4 linked regions of the Schizosaccharomyces pombe genome follow. The gene in region 1 interacts genetically with each later gene. Each region holds a gene or a part of one and is shown on either strand. Other genes may lie near its edges. The genes, in order: cyr1, gpa2, sty1 and git1.

What was found.
Region 2: of cyr1 (region 1) and gpa2, extra expression of one rescues a mutant of the other (dosage rescue), as found in Schizosaccharomyces pombe (2 studies listed by BioGRID).
Region 3: of cyr1 (region 1) and sty1, a mutation in one rescues a mutant of the other (synthetic rescue), as found in Schizosaccharomyces pombe (2 studies listed by BioGRID, with this or other methods).
Region 4: of cyr1 (region 1) and git1, extra expression of one rescues a mutant of the other (dosage rescue), as found in Schizosaccharomyces pombe (2 studies listed by BioGRID).

What each region holds. Positions count from the first base shown.
Region 1 is NC_003423.3:2,817,863-2,825,720, forward strand, and holds cyr1 (adenylate cyclase), read left to right. Parts: upstream 1-1,939; 5' UTR 1,940-2,145; coding exon 2,146-7,224; 3' UTR 7,225-7,358; downstream 7,359-7,858. Other genes in the region: N-end-recognizing protein, UBR ubiquitin-protein ligase E3 Ubr1, read left to right, coding at 1-1,363; SPOM_SPBC19C7.04C (uncharacterized protein), read right to left, coding at 7,830-7,858. UniProt on the Schizosaccharomyces pombe protein: Acts in glucose-induced cAMP signaling by catalyzing the synthesis of the second messenger, cAMP to activate PKA signaling and repress sexual development and gluconeogenesis.
Region 2 is NC_003424.3:2,515,542-2,520,929, forward strand, and holds gpa2 (heterotrimeric G protein alpha-2 subunit Gpa2), read right to left. Parts: upstream 3,699-5,388; 5' UTR 2,775-3,698; coding exon 2,654-2,774; intron 2,491-2,653; exon of another isoform or gene 2,249-2,490; coding exon 1,305-2,248; 3' UTR 512-1,304; downstream 1-511. Other genes in the region: SPOM_SPAC23H3.12C (hydrogen/potassium transport protein), read right to left, coding at 1-332. UniProt on the Schizosaccharomyces pombe protein: Alpha subunit of the heterotrimeric guanine nucleotide-binding protein (G protein) involved in glucose-induced cAMP signaling.
Region 3 is NC_003424.3:205,951-210,154, forward strand, and holds sty1 (MAP kinase Sty1), read right to left. Parts: upstream 2,187-4,204; 5' UTR 1,964-2,186; coding exon 914-1,963; 3' UTR 526-913; downstream 1-525. Other genes in the region: SPOM_SPAC24B11.07C (oxidoreductase), read right to left, coding at 3,396-4,204. UniProt on the Schizosaccharomyces pombe protein: Proline-directed serine/threonine-protein kinase involved in a signal transduction pathway that is activated by changes in the osmolarity of the extracellular environment. Controls osmotic regulation of transcription of target genes.
Region 4 is NC_003423.3:3,830,648-3,836,839, reverse strand, and holds git1 (C2 domain protein Git1), read left to right. Parts: upstream 1-1,849; 5' UTR 1,850-2,346; coding exon 2,347-5,643; 3' UTR 5,644-5,655; downstream 5,656-6,192. Other genes in the region: splicing factor Cxr1, read left to right, coding at 1-997.

The sequences.
Region 1 (7,858 bases):
CAGCCTTTGCCAAGTTGAAGCATCTACTAGAGGACACATAAAATGTTCAAGTATTCCAGCGGATATTTGGGTGCATAATCTTGGAAAAAATCAGCAAGTTTTTTTAAGGATTTTATCTGAATCTATCAAAACTTATACTTTGTTATGTGCACATGATTCACAGAAGCGTATTGGGGGTTCAATTCAAGAGTTTGAATTTATTAGTTTCTGCCAACAAAAAAGGATATTTGGGCGACTATTGCCCTCTCTAGATTCACCGGTTACCAAATCTATTACTGATGATAGAGTTGAGCCGTTACTTGTGAAGGATACATTTCGAGAATTCGCCGAAGCCAGTGTCTCTGGTTTATTATCATGTGACGAATCGTTTCACTACTTGACGCAATTATACTATACTGCCGATATAGTTCGAAACTTATGGATTCTTTTGTCACAAAGAAACTCTTTACTGAAATGTATGGAATCAGTTGAATTTGAAGCCTTTGACTATGAGCAGCTAAAGGGGTTTGAGCACTTAGTTATCCAAATTTGGAAAAGTCTTCGTGTCGACGGAGCAGGATTAATCAATTTTGATTGTTGTACGGAGGATGATCTAAATAATCCTCATCTTTTGTTTACACTGTATAAACTATTGGAAAGGTTTTCTCTAATCTTCCTTCGAAAATGTGCTTTGCTTTGGTATTGCCGCTATGGAGTTTCATTTGAGACGCAACCGAATTTAAACTTTCAAAATTCAGAATTATCACGTTTACAAACAAAAATGCATATTCCAGGTGTTATTGAATTATCTAATCATCTTTGTCTTACGGCATCTTCCACAGAATGGAGCCTTATAAAGCACTGGTGTAATTTCTTTACAGAGACTGGTCCTCTATGCGATTTTCCTCGCGCTTATTACCCTGGAATTTATGAACTAGTTTCTTTACCGTATGAATTGGATAAAGTCTTTGAGTTACTATTGGCCAGGCGATGCTCGAAATGTTTAACTGAACCTATGGAACCAGCGATATGTTTATTTTGTGGGAAGCTCTTATGCTTCCAAAGTCATTGTTGTTCCTTTAATGGTATTGGAGAATGTAATCTTCATATGCAACAATGCGCTTCTGACATTGGAATTTTTCTTATTGTCAAAAAATGCGCTATTCTCTACCTCAATCCACCTGTAGGAAGCTTCTCTGTAGCTCCATTTTTGGATGCGTATGGAGAGACAGATTTGGGATTGCGTCGTGGCCGCTCTCAATATCTATCACAAAAACGTTATGATGAAACAGTACGAACGATGTGGCTAAACGGATCTATTCCTTCTTATATTGCTCGACAACTGGATGCGAATCCAGACACCGGAGGTTGGGAAACACTTTAGGCTAAACAATGGGAGTTTACGTGATCTAAGCTACTAATTTTTTTAATGCTTCAAACACCTTGATTATTTATTAGGATATATATACCAAAACTTGACATTTTATCATTTAATTCATATTCATTGACCTGTAAATATAGGTTACTTTACAAACATTTCGTCTCATTCAAACAGTCAATCGTATTGCCCTTATATTTAAGGGGCGAGTATCATTTAAGGATAAAATTAGATGAAAGTTTCATGAATACTTTAAAACTCAGTTTGAAACTTTGATAAAAGAAGCTTTTTTAACTCATCAGTCAAATCCAATGTTAATTAATGGAAGGAGTAATGGAAAGCCTTCAAAAAAAAAAATAAAAAAATCATAGTAATTAATTCAAGACCGCCTTCATCTAGTATATTCAGTAGATTTGTTTACAAATCGATGAAATAGTGACGTACGCAGTATTCGAACGCGCCTTACAGTTTCTTCCTCACTAATTCACTGAGAACACATAGTGTTGGAAATTACCACTCTGGAATATAGTTTAGAGTTAGGAAGATACATGAGGTGTTGGAACCCAAACCCTTTCTTGTTCTAAACCTAACAAGTGATATAATCAGACAAAGAAACGCTGGTGTTGGAACTAGGATAATAGAGCAAATACTAGTTCTATAAATTCAATATTCCTTCCTTGGATAGGGATATAACCATTATTGAATTTTCCTTGTCCAAAATTCGCGTATAGTGGTATTTTTGAAACGAAGGTGCTACAGATTCTTAGGAAGGATGCAAATTGCCACTAATGGATCAAAGCAAGCGATTGTTAAAGTCAGCTGTTCCAAACCCGCCTGAACATTTTAAAACAGGTATATCCTGGCTTGATGACCTTGACGAGAAGGACGATGACTCAGCGACGTCTGTGAACTATGATATACCAGAAATAACCGAAGCAAATCTCTGTAATGACTCCCATGAAGCTCTTTCACCTTGCACTCAACCTGTCGGTAATTCTGGACGACCTGTCGAAGCTTTTAAGACCTATCCTAGCACTCCTGCAGTACCTAGCAAAAGCGTGCTTTTCCATTTTTATGAACCGGATGAGAACTTTAGCTTATCTGACACGGGACGTACTAAATCGGATACCGCCTTAGCTGCAAGAGAAAGCTCTGAAAAGTCTGAAGTGCCACGTGATACCCGTAGTGCTGGGATAAAGCCATACAAAGAAAATAACTCGTCTAATTGTGCAATTTCTAAAGAAGCAGGCCTTCGAAGACTTATTGATAAGGACAGAGAATCTTTCGACAAAAACCTGAATCAGTCATTTACCAATCTAACTTTTCCAGAACCGATTTCTGATGACAGTGACAGTGTGGAGTTTCAACGTGATTCTCTTAATAACAATTGGCCAGCTAGTTTGGAAGGTAGCATACACGAATTACCCAGGAATAGTGATGATGATGGAATCCCTGCTTCTGCGGCTCATATCCTGGACCTCGATTATCATAGAGATAGTTATGATAGCCCTTGGAAGAAGTTTTTACCGTACCCTTCCATTTTATCCGATGATTCTTGGAAAGCTCCGGAGAGTTGGGGAACTAGTTTGCCCACTGAGGCTATTCCAAAGCAGGTTTTTACTACTAGATTTTTTGCTCGTCCTTCCCTGGGCAATAGAAAGAAAGAGTTCTTTCTTCGAGTATACCGTGATGATCGAACTTCCGTATCATTCATTTGCCCTATTGGCATACAAACTCATGAAGTGATTAAGCTGTTAGCAAGGTTATTTTTTCTTCCCTCGTCTGCTAATTTTTACCTCTTATTAATCCAATTCAATACAGAACGTATTTTGTTGCCTCATGAACAGCCATGCATTATATTTGAACGATTATTGAGTTTGTTTGGGTGTAAGGTAACTTCCGATGAAGAAATAAATGAAGAAGATAATTATAGTGTTGCTAGATTGGTGTTTACTACGATGGATATTGGAGCGGATGTATTGCGTAAATTCTCTGAAAAAAAAATTACTGCGAACCTTGACATTAGTAGGTCAAACCTGGAGGTTATTCCGGTAAAGATCTATCCCTATGCCCATGAACTTATCTCGTTGAATGTTTCGCACAATTTATCGCTGGACCTGCCTTTAGATTTCATGGAGCGCTGTGTCAAGCTTAAGCGGTTAGACATTTCCAATAATTTAAGGTCTCCAAGAGGAAAACCGATTACTGCTCTTCGCCAATTGGAAGTTTTGAACATGTCTCGTAACGATATATATGAATTGGATCCTCTTATATTCTCTGGGCTTAGTCGAAATTCTCTGAAAGAATTGAATATAGCTAATAATAAGCTGTTCTTCCTTCCCCATTCTACTAGATATTTGGTGAATCTAACCTATCTTGATTTATCCTACAATAATTTTGTGACTTTCCCTTTAATAATTACTGAGTTGTCCCAATTGGAGACTCTTAACTTTTCGCATAATTTATTGTCACAGATATCTAGCAAAATTGGCTCTCTTGTTAAATTGAAGCATCTATATCTACAATTTAATGATTTATCTAATCGGCTTCCACAGGAAATAGGCTTGCTAAAAAATCTGGAAACAATTGACCTTAGTTATAATGCGATTACTAACATCGCCAGTTTATCTGAATGTCCGAAACTAAATAGCATCAATGTAGCTTGCAATTTACTTTCTTTTTACGAATATTCCAATCCGTCAGCTACATTCATCGACTTCTCGTTTTGTCCACTGACTACAATTGATCCGGCATTTAGCTATAGCAATCTCGTCTACTTTGATATCTCACATGCGAAGCTTATTGGGCTCAAGGATTCTGTCATTGAAACTTTAGTAAATGTAGAAACAGTGAAAGTGAATTACAACCACTTTACTAGCATTTCCGATGCAATTTCTGCTATGCAAAATTTGAAATATTTGTCTTGCACGAACTGTGAAATGTCTTATGTTTCACCAAACCTTGGCAAATTAAAGCATTTAGTTCACCTGGATTTACATGCAAATAATATCAAAATATTCCCTGAGGAAGTATGGCAAGTCTCTTCACTAAAAGTTGTTAACCTGTCTTCCAATATCCTGGAGAAAATCAAGTTACCAGTTGCAACGTCAAAAAAATTAACTAGGACAATTAGCCAATTAAAAATCATGCGTACTTTATCAGGAAATCCGGTATCGAGCCTCTCCTCCCAAGAATTTGTTATGCCTACCGTTGAAGAATTATACTTGGTGGACAACAGATTGGGCAATGACTGTTTTACGGCTTTAGAATACTTTAAGTGTTTAAAAGTCTTAAATTTATCTTACAATTATTTAACGGAAATTCCAAGCAAGTTTTTCCAAAATTTTTCTGATCTTAAACACCTTTTTGTGTCAGGAAATGAGCTTGCAAATCTTTCCATTTCCAGTACAGCGCAGGTCCTACTTGAAACTTTGTACGCGAATGGAAATCGTCTTTCCTCTTTTCCTAAAAATGAAGCTTTGTCTAAAAGTTTAAGATTTTTGGACATAAGTACCAATAATCTGCAGAATTTAGCAGTAGAAAAAGCTGAAAAGAAGAGTTTAACTAAACTTCCTCAATTGGAATACCTTAATCTATCTGGTAACACATGGTTTCGATTCTCTGAGCATGAAGATACAAACTTTACAAAATCATATTTGAAGAATTTAAAGTTTTTGAGCATCATGGATTTGAATACAAAATTTTCTAATGCGCCTTCTGATGTTCTAAACCATTTTATTCAACGCAACTCTCCTCAACCTAACATTTTGAGGTATGGAGTATGTGGATACCTTTCTCGTTCTATTCCCGTCATCTCTGCATGTGAATTAGTTGTTAACAACTTTTTGCATCCTCAATCATCTTTATACTGTGTGCTTGACAGTGACATCAGCGCTGGAAAAAACAACCGGGTTTTAAAATTTGTGTACGACAATTTGGCTTCATGCCTAGCGCATGAGATTAATGCAGCAGATTCCTCTTCTGAACAAATTTGTAACGCTTTGAGAAGAGGATTTCTTCGTTTAAACAAAAAATTAGGAAATGTCATTCATTATGACCTTAGGAAGTCTTCAGAAGGAGACGTGGATAGTAATTACGTTACCACTATGAATATTTCAGAAAAGGGTTATTCTATGGACAGTTCTTGCTTGGATATAGGAGTTAGCATTATCTTAGTGTACGTCAGGGATACAAGAGCTTTCGTTGCCAATGTGGGCACATCAATGGCTATAATGTCTACGAGAAATGATTCGGAACCTACAACTTTAAGTGTCATGCATGATGTGTACAATAGGGATGAAATTCGTCGCATAGTTGATTCATGTGGTTTCATATCTGGTGAAATAAAATCGACCACTACACGTGCTATTGGTCGTTTGTCTCAATTTCCTGGCGTCCAAGCAGTTCCCTATGTTAATGTGCAGTACTTATCTGAACTAAACGAATTTATCATTCTAGCAAATCAGGAATTTTGGAGCGTATTATCAAAACGCACAGTAATTGACGTTGTTCGTGCCAACAGACATTCTCCTCTATTAGCCTCTACGAAGCTACGTGACTATGCTATTGCATATGGTGCAGAAAAAAATGTTCTTGTAGTTATCGTCGAATTGAACGGATTGTTTGAAGAGAATTCCCTTAATTTCAACCAACTACGGGGGGATGAAAAAACTTTAGCAATTTCTGAAAAGAACGATAATATGTCATTTGTCCAAGATTTACCCGATGATTCTTCTTTAGCACGAATGAATAGAGAAGTCTCTCCCCCGAAAGGTTGTATTGCCATGGTTTTTACTGATATTAAGAATTCCACATTATTGTGGGAAAGACATCCTATTGCAATGAGATCTGCGATCAAAACTCATAATACTATTATGCGTCGGCAACTCCGTGCAACTGGAGGCTATGAAGTAAAAACCGAAGGAGATGCGTTTATGGTTTGTTTTCAAACAGTTCCTGCTGCATTACTTTGGTGTTTTTCAGTACAATTACAGTTACTTTCGGCAGATTGGCCCAACGAAATAGTTGAGTCAGTGCAAGGACGGTTGGTACTCGGCTCAAAAAATGAGGTGTTATATCGAGGGCTTAGTGTTCGAATTGGTGTCAATTATGGTGTAACCGTGAGTGAACTAGATCCCATCACTAGACGTATGGACTATTACGGGCCTGTAGTAAACAGAACATCTAGGGTTGTATCAGTCGCTGATGGTGGTCAAATTGCTGTTTCTGCTGAGGTGGTATCTGTATTGAATCAGCTTGATTCAGAAACAATGTCATCAGAGAAGACGAATGTCAACGAAATGGAAGTTCGTGCTCTTAAACAAATCGGTTATATTATCCATAACCTTGGAGAATTTAAGTTAAAAGGTTTGGATACTACTGAAATGATTTCATTGGTTTATCCTGTGCAATTGCAAGGAAGACTGGAGAGATTGATAAAGAGCCGAAGTTTGGGAACACCCACAGCCCTCCCGGAAACTCAGACTTATACTCCCGTTCGTAGTAGAAGCAACAGCTTGCGACCCATGTTAGCAAGATTGAGTGATTCAAAATCTGTCCATGGAGAGGAGGGTGGTTCTGGGAAGAGATCGGTTTCATCCTTGCGCAACGTATCACCATCAGAGAGTACTGGTGGATATGAAGGTTGTATTTTTGATGACCAACAGTATCAATTACTTTATGAACTTTGTGAGCGTCTTGAAGACCATGCCGCTATACTGCATGGGTTTCCTGAACCACCGCCTTGCGATACCGGTCTGGCAGCTCCCGTAAACCAGGCCGAGGAGTATTCATTGTTCTACCGTCTGACTTTGCGTATCGAGAATACTATTTATTGTGTCAGTCAAATGCTTGGACACACTGGCTAAATGAATGCATATAATGACTGCTATATTTAAATAATGTTTAACCCCATAAATAGTTTATATATATATATTTATTTTTTGTATATATAATTTGCATATTTTTAATAAAATTTTTTTTTTTTTTGCTATACCCTAAAGTTGGAATTATGGAATACCAAATTAACGTACGTGTTTCGAGGCAAATCAACTTTTATTTACTATTAGTAAACAATAAGAAACTGAACAACGGAACGACAGTAGACTGATACAAAAGTAAAAAAAAAGAAAAATTGTATTAAAGAAATACGAAATAAAATAATTTTCATGCAAAATGGTATAGGAGTAAAAAAACACAATGGGGGAAACTCGGTATAACACTTGATAACAATGTAAACCCCAAATAAAGATAAAAAAAAATGCAAAATAGAAGAAAAATGAAAAAGAAATCGTAAGAGTAAGATCGTAACTAAACTAAAAATACAGCAAAAAAATTTGGAAAGAATGAAGCAATAAAAATACTAAATAAACAAAATTGGAATCAAAACACTTGACAGCCCGGTATAAAAAAACTTGAGAAATGAAAGATAGAAAAAAAATAAGGAAAAAGACGGAGCTTCAACAATAGTAGTCTAAAGCCTAGAATGACGAGAAGATGTCT
Region 2 (5,388 bases), on another chromosome or scaffold:
GACCGATTCAACTCAGCTAAAATAGTACTTGATTCCAAATTTGGAGGATGTTCAATATACAAAGTTTGGTGTAATTCTGTATCATTTAGCTTCTTAACAGGAGCAATCGCCCTTAAAAAATTTTCTTCATAAGGAGTTGCATGCAAAATTCGGTTTCCCAAAGACACAACCTTTTGTTTGGTATAGCTTTTTGAAGCACTCCAGGAGTCCCAATACTTGTAAATTCTGTTTATAATTTTGTCGTGAATAGTAACTTTTTTGGCAAGGTATTCAGAAGGATAACAATGTAAGAATACCCTTTGATTTGGCAAAGGAAGTGCAATAATTCTCATAATTAGTTAACGAATGTACTTAATTGTTTTTACAAAATAAATATTGAAATAAATAAACCTGCAGTAACACAAAGATGGGTGGATATACTAAAGTAGAAGCTAAAAGTGGGTAACGAATATCTATGTAGTAGTATTACTATCTAATTTAATCAAATTGATACGTATACAGAACAGTGCGGCTTTTTATTATACATGGCAGAAATACACGTGTTCAATAGCTTTTTTGATTAGTAAATTAATATATTAAAGAAAAGATACTGAAAGTCGGTAAAAAGTATCAGTCTCTGGTGCCAACAAAGAGAGACAACAATTTTGATGATTCAGTGAAATAGTCTATACAAGTAGTCTAACAATTAAAAACTAAATACTAAAACAAAAGCGATTAAATCATGTATCCACTCAAAGTCTCTTAGTACTCAAACGGATTTTCTACGACCCTCATAAATAGCAGCATTAAGTGATAGCAATAGTTCTGAAAGCAGAGATAGATGTTCGAATCAAAACTGGAGATCTACTTTCTCAATCTTAAGACTATGTTCAACAGAAAGTATTCAATAACTTTAAAAGCATTCGCCAGCAGCATCGTTTAAAGTAAAAAATTAAATGCAAATTGATATTCGCAAAAATGACAAAATATTTATATCAACTAGAACTGTATAACTTGGTCATCTTAAAGAGATTATTTAATAGCAATCTGTGAACGTTCTGAGACAACTGAAAAGGAGATCGATCCTTTTCCTTACAGACAAATCGGTGATTTCAGATTCCAGCAGCCAATGTATATATTGGAAAAATATTTTTAAAGAACATGTGTAATAAACTCCGGACAATATTAAAAAAAAAAAATAAACGAATGTAAAAGAAGCGATTCTTACAAGGAGGCTTCAGAACTCTCTAGACATATGCAGACAGTAAGAGGTCTTCTGTTAACATATGAATAATGGTAGGGTAAATTTTATCTTCAAATTAAAATTAAAACATTCCCGCTTCTTTCAGACTGTGTTGTAGAATTGTTTCCTTAACGGCAGAAAAGACAACCTTTATGTTAGATGTGTCTACAGCGGTGGTAATGTGAGGATATATATTATGCTTAGCCCGATTTATAGAAGGGTTCACAAATAACCAAAGAATATACCGGGTAATACTTTTAACAGAATTTTTACCTTCATATTGGGGGAAGTAATCCTGGAACGGAACATGTTCCAGTTTCTTCCGAAACAAATCAAATTTGTTCAAAAACAGAATGATAGAAGAATGCATAAACCACTGACTGTTTATAATAGAGTCGAATAAAGAAATACTTTCAACCAAACGATTGCGTTCTGGGGCGGCTCTTTCATAAAGCTTTTTATCATAATCATTTAAGGAAACACAAAATATGATTGAATTCACATTTTCAAAACAATAAATCCATTTCCTTCGTTCGGTTCTTTGACCACCAACGTCGAACATTCGAATTTGCAAATGATCCAATGTGAACGATATTTCCGAAATACCCAGAGTACTATTTCTAGACCGGAGAATGTCATCTATTGTAGGGACATAATGCCGACTGCAAATTTCATCGGCTCGCGAAAAAAAGTAAGGGGCAGAGTCAATGAGTACGGAATCATTTCCATATGTACAGGATCTAACACTATTGGCTGACCAAAGACTAGTAATAGCTTGGCCAATATTAGCATTAATAAGCTCACCAGGAGTTGGATTAAATTTTTCGATTATCTCGCAATTGTGGGTTCCTAAAGGGTCCAAGTTGATACCTTTTTGAACGATAATTTTAACAAGGGTTTTAGCAGATTCCAACAGGTTTCGTCGGATCACCGGAATAAATGTCATAATCTCTTCTTGACTAAACCCATTTTTGTTGAGAATTTTGATTTGCTTACTGATGGTACTTTTTCCACTATCGGAGGCACCTAGAAAACAATGGTTAGACTGACGATTGTAAGAAACAAAGGAAGGAAAATTTGCTATAGGAATCAAACAAAAAATCTGTGCTATGCAATGGAGAGAAACGGTAAGAGTGTAGAGCAACTGATTACAACATGCAACGACGACGAAAAGTGGTTAACTAGAAGAACGTTATCAAAGTCACCTTCACTGACTGAGTATTGAAGGGAAAGGGTAACCAAGAGTAGAGAACGTAGACGCAATTAGACAAACCATTTTCTGTCATTTCTTAAACAGTTTCTCTGTTTCGTAAATAGTTTCACTCATTTCGTTTCTTTATTTTTTTTCTCAATCTTTTCTGCTTTTTTGCTCGACTGCCCAAGCATATATAACTATTGAACAACAACAACAACATTGAGTAGTTTACGTACCTAAAAGCAACACTTTGTAAATCTTTTTATCCTTCTTCGAGGCATTTTCAATCTGCTTTTCGATTTTGCTGTTCAATTTTTTTGATTCACCGCTTTCAGATAATCCATTAAAAATCGTCATTTTTTTTTAATCCACTACTGCAGAATATAAATACGGGGATGTAGTAGGACACCAAACTTCTCAATCCGACAGCTAGCGGGTTTTTGGGATAAGATGGGAGAAATAAATATGAAACAAAGTAAGAAGGTTAAACGCAGGTAGGTAAGGTGTAGCAGCAGAGAGGCGAGGACTTTCCAAGAAAAGCCTTCAATCCAGTTCTTTTCCCAATTAAAGCAAAGATTAAATAATAAAATGGAAAGAGAGCAAGTTAGAAAGAAAAGTGAAACGCAAATAAATAAAAGTATTAAAAAAAAAGTTGAGGTAGCAAGTATGATTAAGTAGGAACAAGGGTGCGGGTGTCAAAAGGGGATATTACAGAATAGGAATCAATAATCAAAATATTGATTAGTCAGTCACTAAACTATACGCGCAAAGTTTGATTAACCCCCTTTATGGGCGACCTTTAAATCGCAATTTCAACTTTTTTTTGAGTTTCACCAGATGCCTCGAAAAGCAGGGGGTGGAGGAGAATGAGGAAGGATCGCAGGTCGGAAGCTAGCCGGCTAGCTAATTGACACAGTGAGTACGAGTGAATACCAAGGTTGATTAAGGCAAGAAGAAAAGGCTGAAATCAGTTGAAGAGATGCAGCGACAAATGAGAAACTCGTGAAAATTGATTTCTCGTCGTCTTTCGATGAACGAGAAAAAAATTAAGAATTGTACAAGGAAGAAAGAAGAATTAGAGGCAAAATATCTCAATTCTTACTACTGTCCAACTAACCGAGTGTACAATTAAATCCTTACTTTCAATTCACACTACCCTAAATCCAACAAGCAGCAGCAAAAGGGCAAGCGTTTTGATGCTTCAAACAGCTTAAGTAGCTAACAACTATGGTTAGATTGGTACCTGAGCGGTGATTTCGTCTATACTATTTCGAAAAAGACAGACGGCAACTCTGGTATAATTTGTATTTATGAGGCACTACGTCATGCATCATCCATTTACGATTTTAATTTTTCGAGTGGGGTAGAGAGGACAGTTCGGAAAATGTAACATTGGAAAAGGATCCAACACATACCACCAAACAAGCATCATTCAAGTAAAGAAGATTGGAGTGTAAGTCTTACTCTTCGATTATGACCTTGGGCGAGGGGAGCAGGCAGTAAGCTGAGACCTGTGTGAGCTTTGCATTCTATGTAAGTATCGCATAGAGAAGCGCCGCTCATCAAAATAGTTTTTTATGTTTTATGTTTATATGTCATTAACTGGTTGGTCCAGCATTTCTATACTACTAAACTATACTGCTCTATTACTACTCTAGTAACTCAATGAGTCGTCCCTTGTTTATGGCTGAAGATGCAAGCAATCGGGATAGCAAAGATGACCAAAGGAAGTGTTCCAAAAAACGCGCAATCTTTCCAAGCAATGTTTAATGAGTGTTTTCCCAATCTGAGTTTGTTCACTTTCATAATATTTTAAATTTTCAAGCCCCAATTTTACCAAGTTCAATTCCAGTTACGGAGACTTATTTACTCAGATATGAAAGTAAAGTGCACAAGGGATAAGGCAACTAACTTGATCGCAAAGCGTGGGCAGCTATCACAAAGCTAGAAAGAAACATATAAAAAATCCATAGACGATTGGGTACCAAGATGAAGCAAAGCATGTTTTCGCAACTGACCAGTTTTACCTGACAGTCGGAAAATTTTTCAGCTGTATAAAAAAAAGAAGACATGGGGACTTGCAAACAATCTAGAAAAAAGGGATTTTTGCGTATCTAGAACAAATGTTAAACATGAAATGGGGTCTTGAAACTGAATACAGCGAACTAGACATGCTTTTCGCCCCTCCCCCGCTTGGTCCATGAAAACATTACTAAGTATACCCTGCTACCATAACTCCTCTCCTATTTCTCATTGCTCGATAAATAGCACAAAGCAGCTTGACACTACAAACTACATTTCAACGCAAAAAAAATAAGGAGGACTTTGTTAAACTGCTCATCGTTCCTAATTTCATTCGGTTCCTTAAATTTAATGGGTAAGAATGGTAAGATATCCTGATGCCGTTACTTGCTGGTTACTTAGTCTTGGAGGTTCGGGAAGGACTGCATTTGCCCCGCTAAAATAAAATAATCTTCAGGTGAGATAGAATTAGCTAGGTTTCGTAATGTTTATGTGGTACTGAAGTCAATCCGTTGTTGTTCGTTCATTTATTCATTACATACTAATAAAAGCATGTACTAGTTATAAAAAAAAGTCTTCCAAGATATTCACATGTAGTGGGAGGGTTTTTATATTGTTTTGTTTTTTGATGGTTTTTTTTTTTTTATAAAGATGAAATTCTTATTTGCGTAAGTTTAATTTTTGCTTGATTATAGGTATCCTTGACAATTATTGAATATGTATCTTATATCTCTTATATATGTGTATCTTATATATCTTGCATATCTTGATATATCCCGATATATTGTGGAAACTAGTTTGCCGGATCTGTTTCATGTTGGTTTTAGGGCAATAATTTGAATTATGAGCAAGATGCGCTTCCCAGTTTAAAATAAAACTATGTTAATTTAATTCAAAAAATTATTATAAGAAAATAATTGAATAAATCAATCATTAGCTAAGTCAATAT
Region 3 (4,204 bases), on another chromosome or scaffold:
CAACATCTTCTTCATTTTTTAATCCCCTTTTTCATAGAACGGGAGATTTGTTGTCACTGTCAATCTCCTTTTTGTATTTATGTTGCTTCAAGCACGTCTGTTTTGAGCCCAATTTCTCTTTTAACGTTTTAGCCTCTCCTTTCTCCATCACCTCTAACTAGTTTTAATTGGAAAAATTATTTGTTCTTCCTTTTAATTATTTTTACGATACTGTTTATTCATAGCTCTTTTTTTGATTATGAAGATACACTTCGCATTTGCTAAGTTTTTATGTTTTATGAAGTAATTCCTAGATGACTATGATTTTTTTTAACGTTTTTAAGATTTTTATTTAACTTCATGTACACAAGATGTCCAAAATCTTGTTGTATAAATAATAAAAGTTAAAAATTAATAAATACACTACTTATTATAAAACCCGTAACTACATTAACGAACTTAAAAACTAAATCATACAGATTAGCATTATAAACCTAGATGGGTAACTATTATAATGGCTTTTTTTTTTTTTTTTTTTTTTTTTTTTCTTTCAAAAAGAGAAGTTCGGTGATTTATTCAACTTCTGAATTTGTAGTCAAAACAAGAAGAGGAAGGTATATATGTTCATTACTTGGAAAGAGGAAGTTGGAAATAATTTTCATGGGCCATCGCATTACCATATCCGAAAAAAAAGGATAAAAATTTGAATTTCAAAATATTTTAGAAAAGGAGTGGCGAGAAAAAACACCACACTTGAAAATCGCAATTGTAATTTATAATTAAACGGAGGATTAAAAACCCGATGACCATTAGAATAATAGAAAAGCCTAAAATTCCATGGAACCGAGATGATATAAATATGATACACGTGAACAAAATAGAGTAATCATAACATACCCCGAGAACAACTTTTAAGGCTTTATCTACAACTTGTTTAGGATTGCAGTTCATTATCCATGTTGTGAAACGACAAAACCTCGGAGTACATCATGACCTTCCAAGTCTCCACAGGTAAATCATTATCTTGGAATGACCAGTCAAAAACTTCATCAGCAACAGGCTCATCAGTAGGATCATGGTATGGAGCAAGATAGTTATGAGCCAAAGCATCAGCAGCACTAATACGCTTACGAGGATCAAAGACAAGCATTTTTTCTAACAGATCAATAGCATCTGGATCGGCGTTTTTGAACTTTTCAGCAAAAGGAACTTTCTCCTTTTGAGGCAATGATTGAACAAAGCGAAGTGTGTTTTTACTGCAAATCGTCTCAATTACTTCCATAGGCGGCGTTCCCAACAATTCCGTGATTATAGAAAACTGGTTAACGTGGTCTCGGCCGGGAAACAAGGGTTTTCCTTCAATCATCTCAGCAAAAATACAACCCGCACTCCAAATATCAACTTCGACGTTGTACTTTTGCCAAGTTAACATAATCTCAGGTGCACGGTAATAACGAGTAGAAACATAGCCCGTCATTTGAGGGTCTTGAATACGAGCCAAACCGAAATCGCAGATTTTTAAATCGCAATTTTCGTTAATTAAGATGTTACTGGGTTTCAGATCACGGTGAATAACACCGGCAGAATGAACAAACTTGAGCCCTCGCAAGATTTGGTATAAGAAGTATTGTATAAATTGCGTCTCTAAAGGTCGCGATGTAAGTAGTCTATGAAGATCTGTTCCCAGAAGCTCCGTGACAAAATAAATATCTTCAAAGGGAGAAATAAAAATATCGCTCAAGCTAATAATATTCTCATGCCTTAAATGCTTTAATAGTTTTAATTCCCGATAGGTACGTTTTGCCAGTACCGGAGTACTAAAGGGTTTCATAATTTTCTTAACAGCGACATTCATTCCAGTTAGCTGATCCTTCGCTGAACAAACGAGGCCAAAGGCGCCCATGCCAATCGGCTGTAAGTCGCTATATCTAGTGGTAATTTCAAAACATGTACCGAATATTTGTGTACGAATAAATTCTGCCATTTTATTCAAACTGGTTACAAAAAGGACTATTCAACAATAATCTCAAAAATTTAAGCGTCCTTCGTCTATATCGAAAAGTAACTTTCTCTTCTTTTTACAAGTTCCCAACAACGCTGCGAAGTGCCAAGCTTTATAATAATTACGATAACAATCGTCGGTATCGGACCTCGTATTCCGTTAAACAGATTGTGGTGTTTGCTTGTAATAAGCAATGAAGTGCTCTGGTTAAGTTGTGGTAAGGAGGTATGTAGCTGTGATTAAGTGCACACCGCACTACAGTGAACTTGCGCTTCAGCATCCAGAACCTCAAAGAATGAAGTTCCGCCGGTTTAACGATGTTTTTAAAATGTATTAAACAATTTAAAGTACTACTACTTTTGATAACAACTGACGACGATAAACACCAAAGTGACCACTCCTTCTACTCTTACCAAGGCTTTGTTGTCCAGATCTGAGATGGGTTAGTTGGTAAAGTTGTTAAGCCAGCTTTATTAGATCAACTTTTTTAGCTATTTGAGCTAGTATTCATTATTGAAATGTGTGTTTCAAGGAAAAAGTCTTGTAAGCTAACCCAATTTGTCTTTTGACAACAGTTACTGTTGAAAAACCCGTTCAATTATAGATCTGACATTTCATTTGATCCATAATGCTCGATTTCGTAGTTAATTTGCTTGTTTGCCTCTATTAGCCCAGCGTCCGCGTTTTGATTTCTTAGCGAGTTGTTAATATTATGGTTTCACGATTAGGCATTAATCGGGTCTGTACCTTCCACATTTTGGGACGAAATAACCAAGGATAATTAGGTGCAACAAGTCATTTTCCATTTCAATTTTCCTTTTACTTTATTAAAAAATTTTTAATTAAAAAAGTTTGGACAAATACCATTTAAAGTCTACGAGGAAATAGGACACAATACTACGTTAAATGTATGTTTCAATAAAAAATCAATTCAATAAAAGGACAAAAATTAAAAGAAGGGAAAATCGAAAAAAAAAAGAATGTGATGCCGAAATTACCATACGGCTCAGTGAGCAGATAGACTAAAGATACGTATTATATGGAATTCTTCGCCAAAGATACATGCAAAATGTAATAAAAGTTATATATATACATATATGATAGACTTATACCAAATTGCTTCCATGGCGGAGATAACCAAACGGGGTAAAAACAGAGTACTTTTAAAATATAGACCAGATTAAAAAGAATGAAATTATGCCTTCATAAATTTGATGCAAATGAACCCAATACGATGAGTGCTAACGCGTTATTCTTAGCGCAAATTGTTCGGAAGAAAATAAAAAAACATAACGTGATCCCCAAAAGAATGCTTAATAATGAGTCAGTAGAATTCAAATCAATAAAAGTTTAACACGACAATGCTTTTATAATGATAAAGGAATGAGGAAAACTGTGGCTCCGAAAGAGAGGTCTACGATTTCATGCGAGAAGTTCCACGAGCTAGCGGAAAGCGACGCATCGCATTAGGTATAACCGTCATTGACGATGTCTCAGAAGCCACAGAAGCTCGAGGTTCTACTCCCTTATTGTTGTTCATGAGAGTAAAATACGTTTCGGATTCACCACTGTCATCAGTTTCACCGTTTCGCGATTCCGCAGAATTAGAGTTGGAATTTGGTCTTGACAATACTTCATTTCCAAGTGATTGAGAAGACGAATTAGGATCACTTGGCGTACCAAATCTTGATGACTCAGGTGATATATTCTTGTGCGTATGCTCTTTAGCTTCAGGGGATAACACGTTTTTTCCACCACGAACAGGAGGTGAACCTCGAGGAGCAAAACGCGGATCAAAAGTTCGACCCAAGCCCTCATAATCACTCTTTAAAGACTGTTGCATTTGCATCAAAGAAGGAGAATACAAAGAACGTCTAGAGCGACGAGTTGTAAGAGACAACATATCCATATTGTCAGCAGTCATTGCTCGTCCTTTTGAAAGGGACGGAGCAGAAGGAATTCTGCCCATATTTGGCTTACCATTTTCGGGAACAGAATATGGGTGTAAAGGTGAATGTCGATCAGAAACGAAGGATGATGGATTAATAGGCCGCATATTAACCAAAACTTTGTTTTTCTTAGGTGAATTGTCCGTGGGCCCATGCATATCATTCATGTGATGTGGTTGAACGAGAGGAAGGTGTTGAATACTCGAAATTAATGCACTTATTGTTCGTAAACGAGGAACTTGGAGGGATTGTTTAGTAGCTAAATCAATACAAT
Region 4 (6,192 bases), 1.0 Mb from region 1:
ATCTCCTCATGAAGCTTCAAGCGCGATGAGTATGAACAACAAACCAATTCCTGGTACAAATCATTTGTTTAAACTTAATTGGGCCTCTGGAGGCGGATTACGTGAAAAGTCTATTTCAAAGGCCTCAGAATATTCCATATTTGTGGGAGACTTGTCACCCAATGTCAATGAGTTTGATGTGTATTCTCTCTTCGCATCTCGATATAACTCATGCAAGTCGGCCAAAATCATGACTGATCCTCAAACAAATGTGTCAAGAGGATATGGTTTTGTCCGTTTTACGGACGAAAATGATCAGAAATCTGCATTGGCAGAAATGCAGGGTCAAATTTGTGGTGATCGTCCTATTCGGGTGGGATTAGCCACTCCTAAAAGTAAGGCTCATGTTTTTAGTCCTGTGAACGTTGTACCTGTTAGTATGCCACCAGTTGGATTTTATAGTGCTGCACAGCCTGTTCCTCAGTTTGCTGACACAGCAAACTCAACCGTATTTGTTGGCGGTCTCTCAAAATTTGTTTCTGAAGAGGAGCTTAAGTATCTTTTTCAAAATTTTGGAGAAATTGTTTATGTCAAAATTCCACCTGGAAAAGGTTGTGGATTTGTGCAATTTGTCAACCGACAGTCTGCTGAAATTGCTATCAATCAGTTGCAGGGTTATCCTTTGGGCAATTCTCGTATCCGATTATCTTGGGGAAGGAATCAGAATCCAATTGCGGCTCCTGCCTTGAATTATCAGTCTCAGGTTTCACAAACTACTATTCCTGCTACCTCATTATTTCCGGCAATGAGTTTACCACCCCAGGCTCAGTTTAGTCCATATCCGGCTGTTGCACCTTCCCCCTTAGCCCTGCAAACGAGGGGTGCACCGATTGGCATGGAAATTTCGATTGGATCTCCTGCCCTCGTACCTGATCAAATGCATATTCCTGAAAACGGCAACTCTGATACCATGCCTGTTCCTAACACACAAGGAAAGCATTTATCAGCTGAAGAGTAATGTAAAAGTACTTGCGATTGAATTTTTTATAATGGCATGTCTCATACTTTTTATCATCATTCTTGGTTTTTATAAAGTATGAATAATTTTCCATCTATTCTAATAAGTTTGATGTTCATAATGAATCACGGAGAATTATTGTTTCGAGAAACGTGAGAGTTCTTGTAAACTCTATCTGTTATTTTGGACGTTAAATCAAGAGAGTCCCTTAGCATAATTGATTAATAAGCATTTTACATGTGTTCATGAATTCGAATTATCGAAGAAAAGCTTGAACTAAATTTTTGTTGGACATAGCTTCATTACGTTTCCTTTCTAAGGATTGACGGTTTTTATATTCATCTCTCCCTGTTTATGATATGAAATGCTACGTTTTTTTAGCCGAAATTTTCATTTGTCATGATTTTTATAGTCAAGAAAAAGGTTTTCATACGACGTATATAAAAGATTAAATTTAATAGTAATGATGGACTTCAGAATTATCGCACTGAGATTTTTAGGTCGCTGGAGAATGCAGTTTAGGCAAGGTATGTAAGTGCTTATTGAGATTTCCCATTGATAAACAACTTTTAAGTTGCTTCTGGTTTAATCATTCGTTCTTTTAGGTATGAGTTTAGTTAAATGATCAGCGCCATTTTCAAAACATTTCATTCAACCAAAAATCAACCGCCTCTAAATTCAATTTTATTTGAATGATACTCCCTATTTATCGAAAAATCCATTCAATTAAAATCTATTATTAACTTTTCATCCATTTAAATCTACTCCATTTTTAAAGCTCTTGTTTACAGAGTAACAACGCGACTTGCAACTTCTACTACGCCAGGGGGGCGACTGTCGCAATAAACAACTGACAGAAAACGCACTTATAGTATAGGCTCAAAATCTTTTTAAATCGTAGCCTTTCCCATTAATACGAATACATCATCAAATTCAGTTTTGCGATTAAGTATAAACGGGCTTAACTCGTGCGTTTATATACTTTGTCAACGCTGTGATTAGTATTCAACCTTTGACGTTACACTTTATTAACCTGGCTCGATACTCTTAAATAAGACTCTGGAAAGCGACAATTCTTATAATTAATTTTATTTTTTATTTTTTAACCTGTGAAAAAGTTTTAATCTCTAGACCTGGAACGATCATTAACATAATTGTGTACACATTATTGAAATCCAGCTTATAAATGAATTTTGATCTACTAAATAATTTACTCACCGATCCAAAGAAGCAGACAACATAAACCATCACCTATCGCTATTTTTACCTTCATCCATTAAATAACACCTTCATACATTCCGAACACCAGGTTTTTGCACTCTCTACTCAGCAAATCGGAAAGGCTTAAAATGGGATTCACTAGTGTTGAACCCCCAGATTTTTTTGATTGGACTGCCAGAGCTATATTTTTATTATCGACATTACGCAGTCGCAGAAATGCTAAGCAAATTGAGCGTGAAAATGCGCTTTTGGATCAAATCAAGGAGCTTTTAAGTATTGCCATTATTCAGTGTCATGAAAGAAATATTCCTTCGATAGATCTTCCCCCGTCTTTTTTCAATTATGTTTGTGAACAGCTACCCAGGCACCCTTTTGCTAAGATAGCTTCGAGCTACATAGATACGCATACTTTATTTTTTCAAATATCTATCAGCTCATTTTTATGCCGATTTTCAAACTGCTCAGAAGACGAGATCAGGCTTTTTAAGCAGCACCAGTCCCTTGATAGTTTTTTACTATCCTTGTTTGACCTCCTTTGTAGTCACCACTTTTCCGTTGAATTTACGTCCATATCACTAATTATCAAATCTTCGCAGTGGTTATTTTATACATTATCCGATTATGCTCATGAATCCTTAACAGGCGTTGAGGCTGATATTACAACGAAATTTCTTTCCACCCTAGCTGATACTTGGCCAGAATTCGAAGAGCAGTGTACTCTTAGCAAACATCTTTTTCTTTTAGGTGACTTTTCGCTAATCAGCTATGTAAAAGTTTTATGTGGTGTATTTAATATCCCTAACTACAATGCCTTCATTCTAAGTGTCGAGGATCTACTTCCGGAAAATATATCCTTTGCCGCCGTTGCTGATTTTCAGTTATCAAAGTATAGGGCAATTAACGACAATTCTGTATTAAGAAGTGACGATTTCTCATCAAAAGCTGTGTTCGACAAATACGTTGAAAGGGAGTGTTATTACTCAGAAAATGCTATTAGTAAAATTTTTCAAAACTATCCTGATTTGGCTGTCCTTTTTGAAGAACTACAATATGCCGAGGGAAACAATGATCTTCTATCTGCGATTTTGAATACCAATAAATATACTTTGAGACCTGATGATTGTGCTCCATACTTTTATCGTTTAATGGATTTGTGCTTACGTTATTGTTATAGCCAAAGTAATGAAATTGGTACCAACGTTTTATGGAGCATGACTACAAGTTTCATCAACATTTGGCGTATTCATCCTGGAACATGTTGTTGCGTGGTCTTAAGTATATATTGGCCTTATCTTGAGGATAAACTCCTAAAGTTTTCGGACCTTGGAGATATTTTTGAATACTTCTTTTCTTTAATTCATGATTGTGATTATGCGATTTGGTCAGTCCATGACGAACACCAATTTTCGGAGTTATTGGCGTTTTATCATAGAAGAGCTTTAAATGACTTAGTAGAAGAATTGGGGAGCTGTCCTCGTTCTAGTGATTCTTGCCGAGCTATCCTTGATATCCTTAATAATTACATCTTTTCATGTCCGCTTTTTCTGGTAACCCCTGAAGAACTAGAAGAGCAATACACCGACTTTTTTAAAAAACTGAAAGAAAAATATGGGGAGTTTTTCCAGAATCTACTGAAGAAAGAACTGACTGGGAAGCCTGAATCAGATCTCGAAGGGCTTCGATTAGTGGGTGTCCAATTGCAAGCCACTTACGAAAACTTGAAGTCGAATTTTAGTGCTAGAATATTTAACCAGCTTTCGGTTCACTCATTTTTTGCAGAAGCAACATGTCACTTGTTTCTTGAGAAATTACCTACCATTACCAAAACTTATGTATACTCAAATTGCAAAGAAATTCCAGATCATATCCTTGAAATGATCAATGCTCTATACCAGCAAACTCGCGCTTTAGTGGCTTGCACCGGATACCTATCGTCGGACTACCCGAAAATTTATGAAGCTTTTAGCGGTACCTTTGTATATAGAAATTTGTCGCTGATAATCGACAAGGGCTTGGCTAATGTGTTGCAAACAGTCCTAAGAGAGTCTTTCATTCCTAAGAGATCCAGATTTTATTCAGATTCAACTAAAATGATTCTTGCTCCTTTGCAGGACTGTTATGATTTTCTGCAGAAAATAGATTGGCCAAGTTCCAAAGATGCAAATCGTTTTTATTTGCATCTTGGAAAACTTAGTGAAAACTACATTCATTACTACGTTGACAGCATGTATGCATTGTTTATTTATAGTACCGATATACCATTGAAAGCAGAACCTTTAGTTCCTGATCTTCCGGTGAAGCAGCTTAAAGAAAAAGCTAGTCATTTTAAAAGACATTCTGGGGACCCAAATTTTTTGAAGCTGTATAGGGAATCATTCACCCTAATCAATACCGTCAGTTTAGTGAGTGGTTGGTTAAAAATGCTGCATCAAAGGATTGATTATAAAATATTGACAGAGAAGGTAATGCACTTTAAAGATATGGAAGTACCATCTGCGACTGTTATAATTTCCATTAAGATGGCCCATCTTTTGGTAACCCCAAAGGCCCCATATTCATTCTCTGTTTTGCTCCAAGATCCTGAGTCGGAATTTTGTGTACATACTCGAGATGTTTATGACGAGCTAGTTCCCAATTGGAAAGAAACGTATCAGATGGAGATTACAAACGTAAAGCGTTTTAAATTAATTATATATCAGAGGAATATACACACTGGATTGGAGACTGTATATGGTCATGCAACACTAGAAGTTGATCCCGACAAACTTAAGCAAGGCCACGGAAAAGATGTTTGGCTTGATATCACTAATAAGGGACAAATTTTGATTGGGTTGCGTGTGCTCTTGAAGAGGGAAACACCAAATTATTACTGCTTTGCCCAAATGGAATACCTTACCGTTACTGAAGTAAAAATGCTAAATGTACTGATGATTTCTCTAAGTAAATTTATTCGAAATTCCTTAAGAAATAGTGGGTTAATGGATTTCGTGCGTTATCTTGATGGAGACGAAAATGATAACGCAGAGGCTGAGACTAAAGAAAAGATGGACGAGTTGCAGGCCCGGTGTGAAAAAGAGCAGCAGTCATTGTTGGCAGAGCTAGATGATTTTTTTTATTGGATTTATGTAAACTTGCTCCCGAAACCTCTTTTTTACTTGCTTTCGCGGCTTTGGTTTGGCTTGTTGGAGACATTTCGAGATATTTTAGTGCCTCCAGTCACAGATTCTACCCTAAGGAGAATTCCGTTGAATAAGCGTGAACTCAAAATGGTCTATTCGTGGTTACAATTGTTTTACGATTTTTTTCGGAATTTTCAAGATATTGCGCCATTTGATTTTTTGAATACCGATGAGTACAAAAGTGTGATGGCTATTAAAGACTATTATTTTGTAAAGTCTAAGGATGTCAAAAGAGTGAGTAGTTAGTTAACTACGGTAATGATGGAGACTTCTATTAATGTTTATTAATTTACTGAACGATACTTTTAATTTAATGAGCACAGTTGCTAATTTATTTTATATATATACAAATATGTATGTCATACGTCTATCATAAAGTCGCGTGTATTAGTTGCTAGGCTGAAATTATTTATTAAGCAGCTAGCTTATAACACTGCATTGTACACAAGAATAATGCTGAAAGCTAAAAATTAAGTTATGCTTACGATGATTACGCATTTTCTACAAAAATGAAACACACCATACAACCATAACAACAGGTTACAACAAAAGTCATAAATACATTTCTATGTAAACAAAAACAGATTTTTTTTAACGTAAAGCATACACATAACCGCACAGCCTTTAGAACGTCCAAACCATAAAAGCAAGTTATAATCATACATAAACATAACAAATGCCTTTAAGTCCCTTAGATAAGACACAAACATTAACCCTTGACTCAATGTCAGAGGCAATAGGAGATTAAAGTCGAATAATTACCAAAGGAACGGGAAAGGATTCCAAAAATTGCCA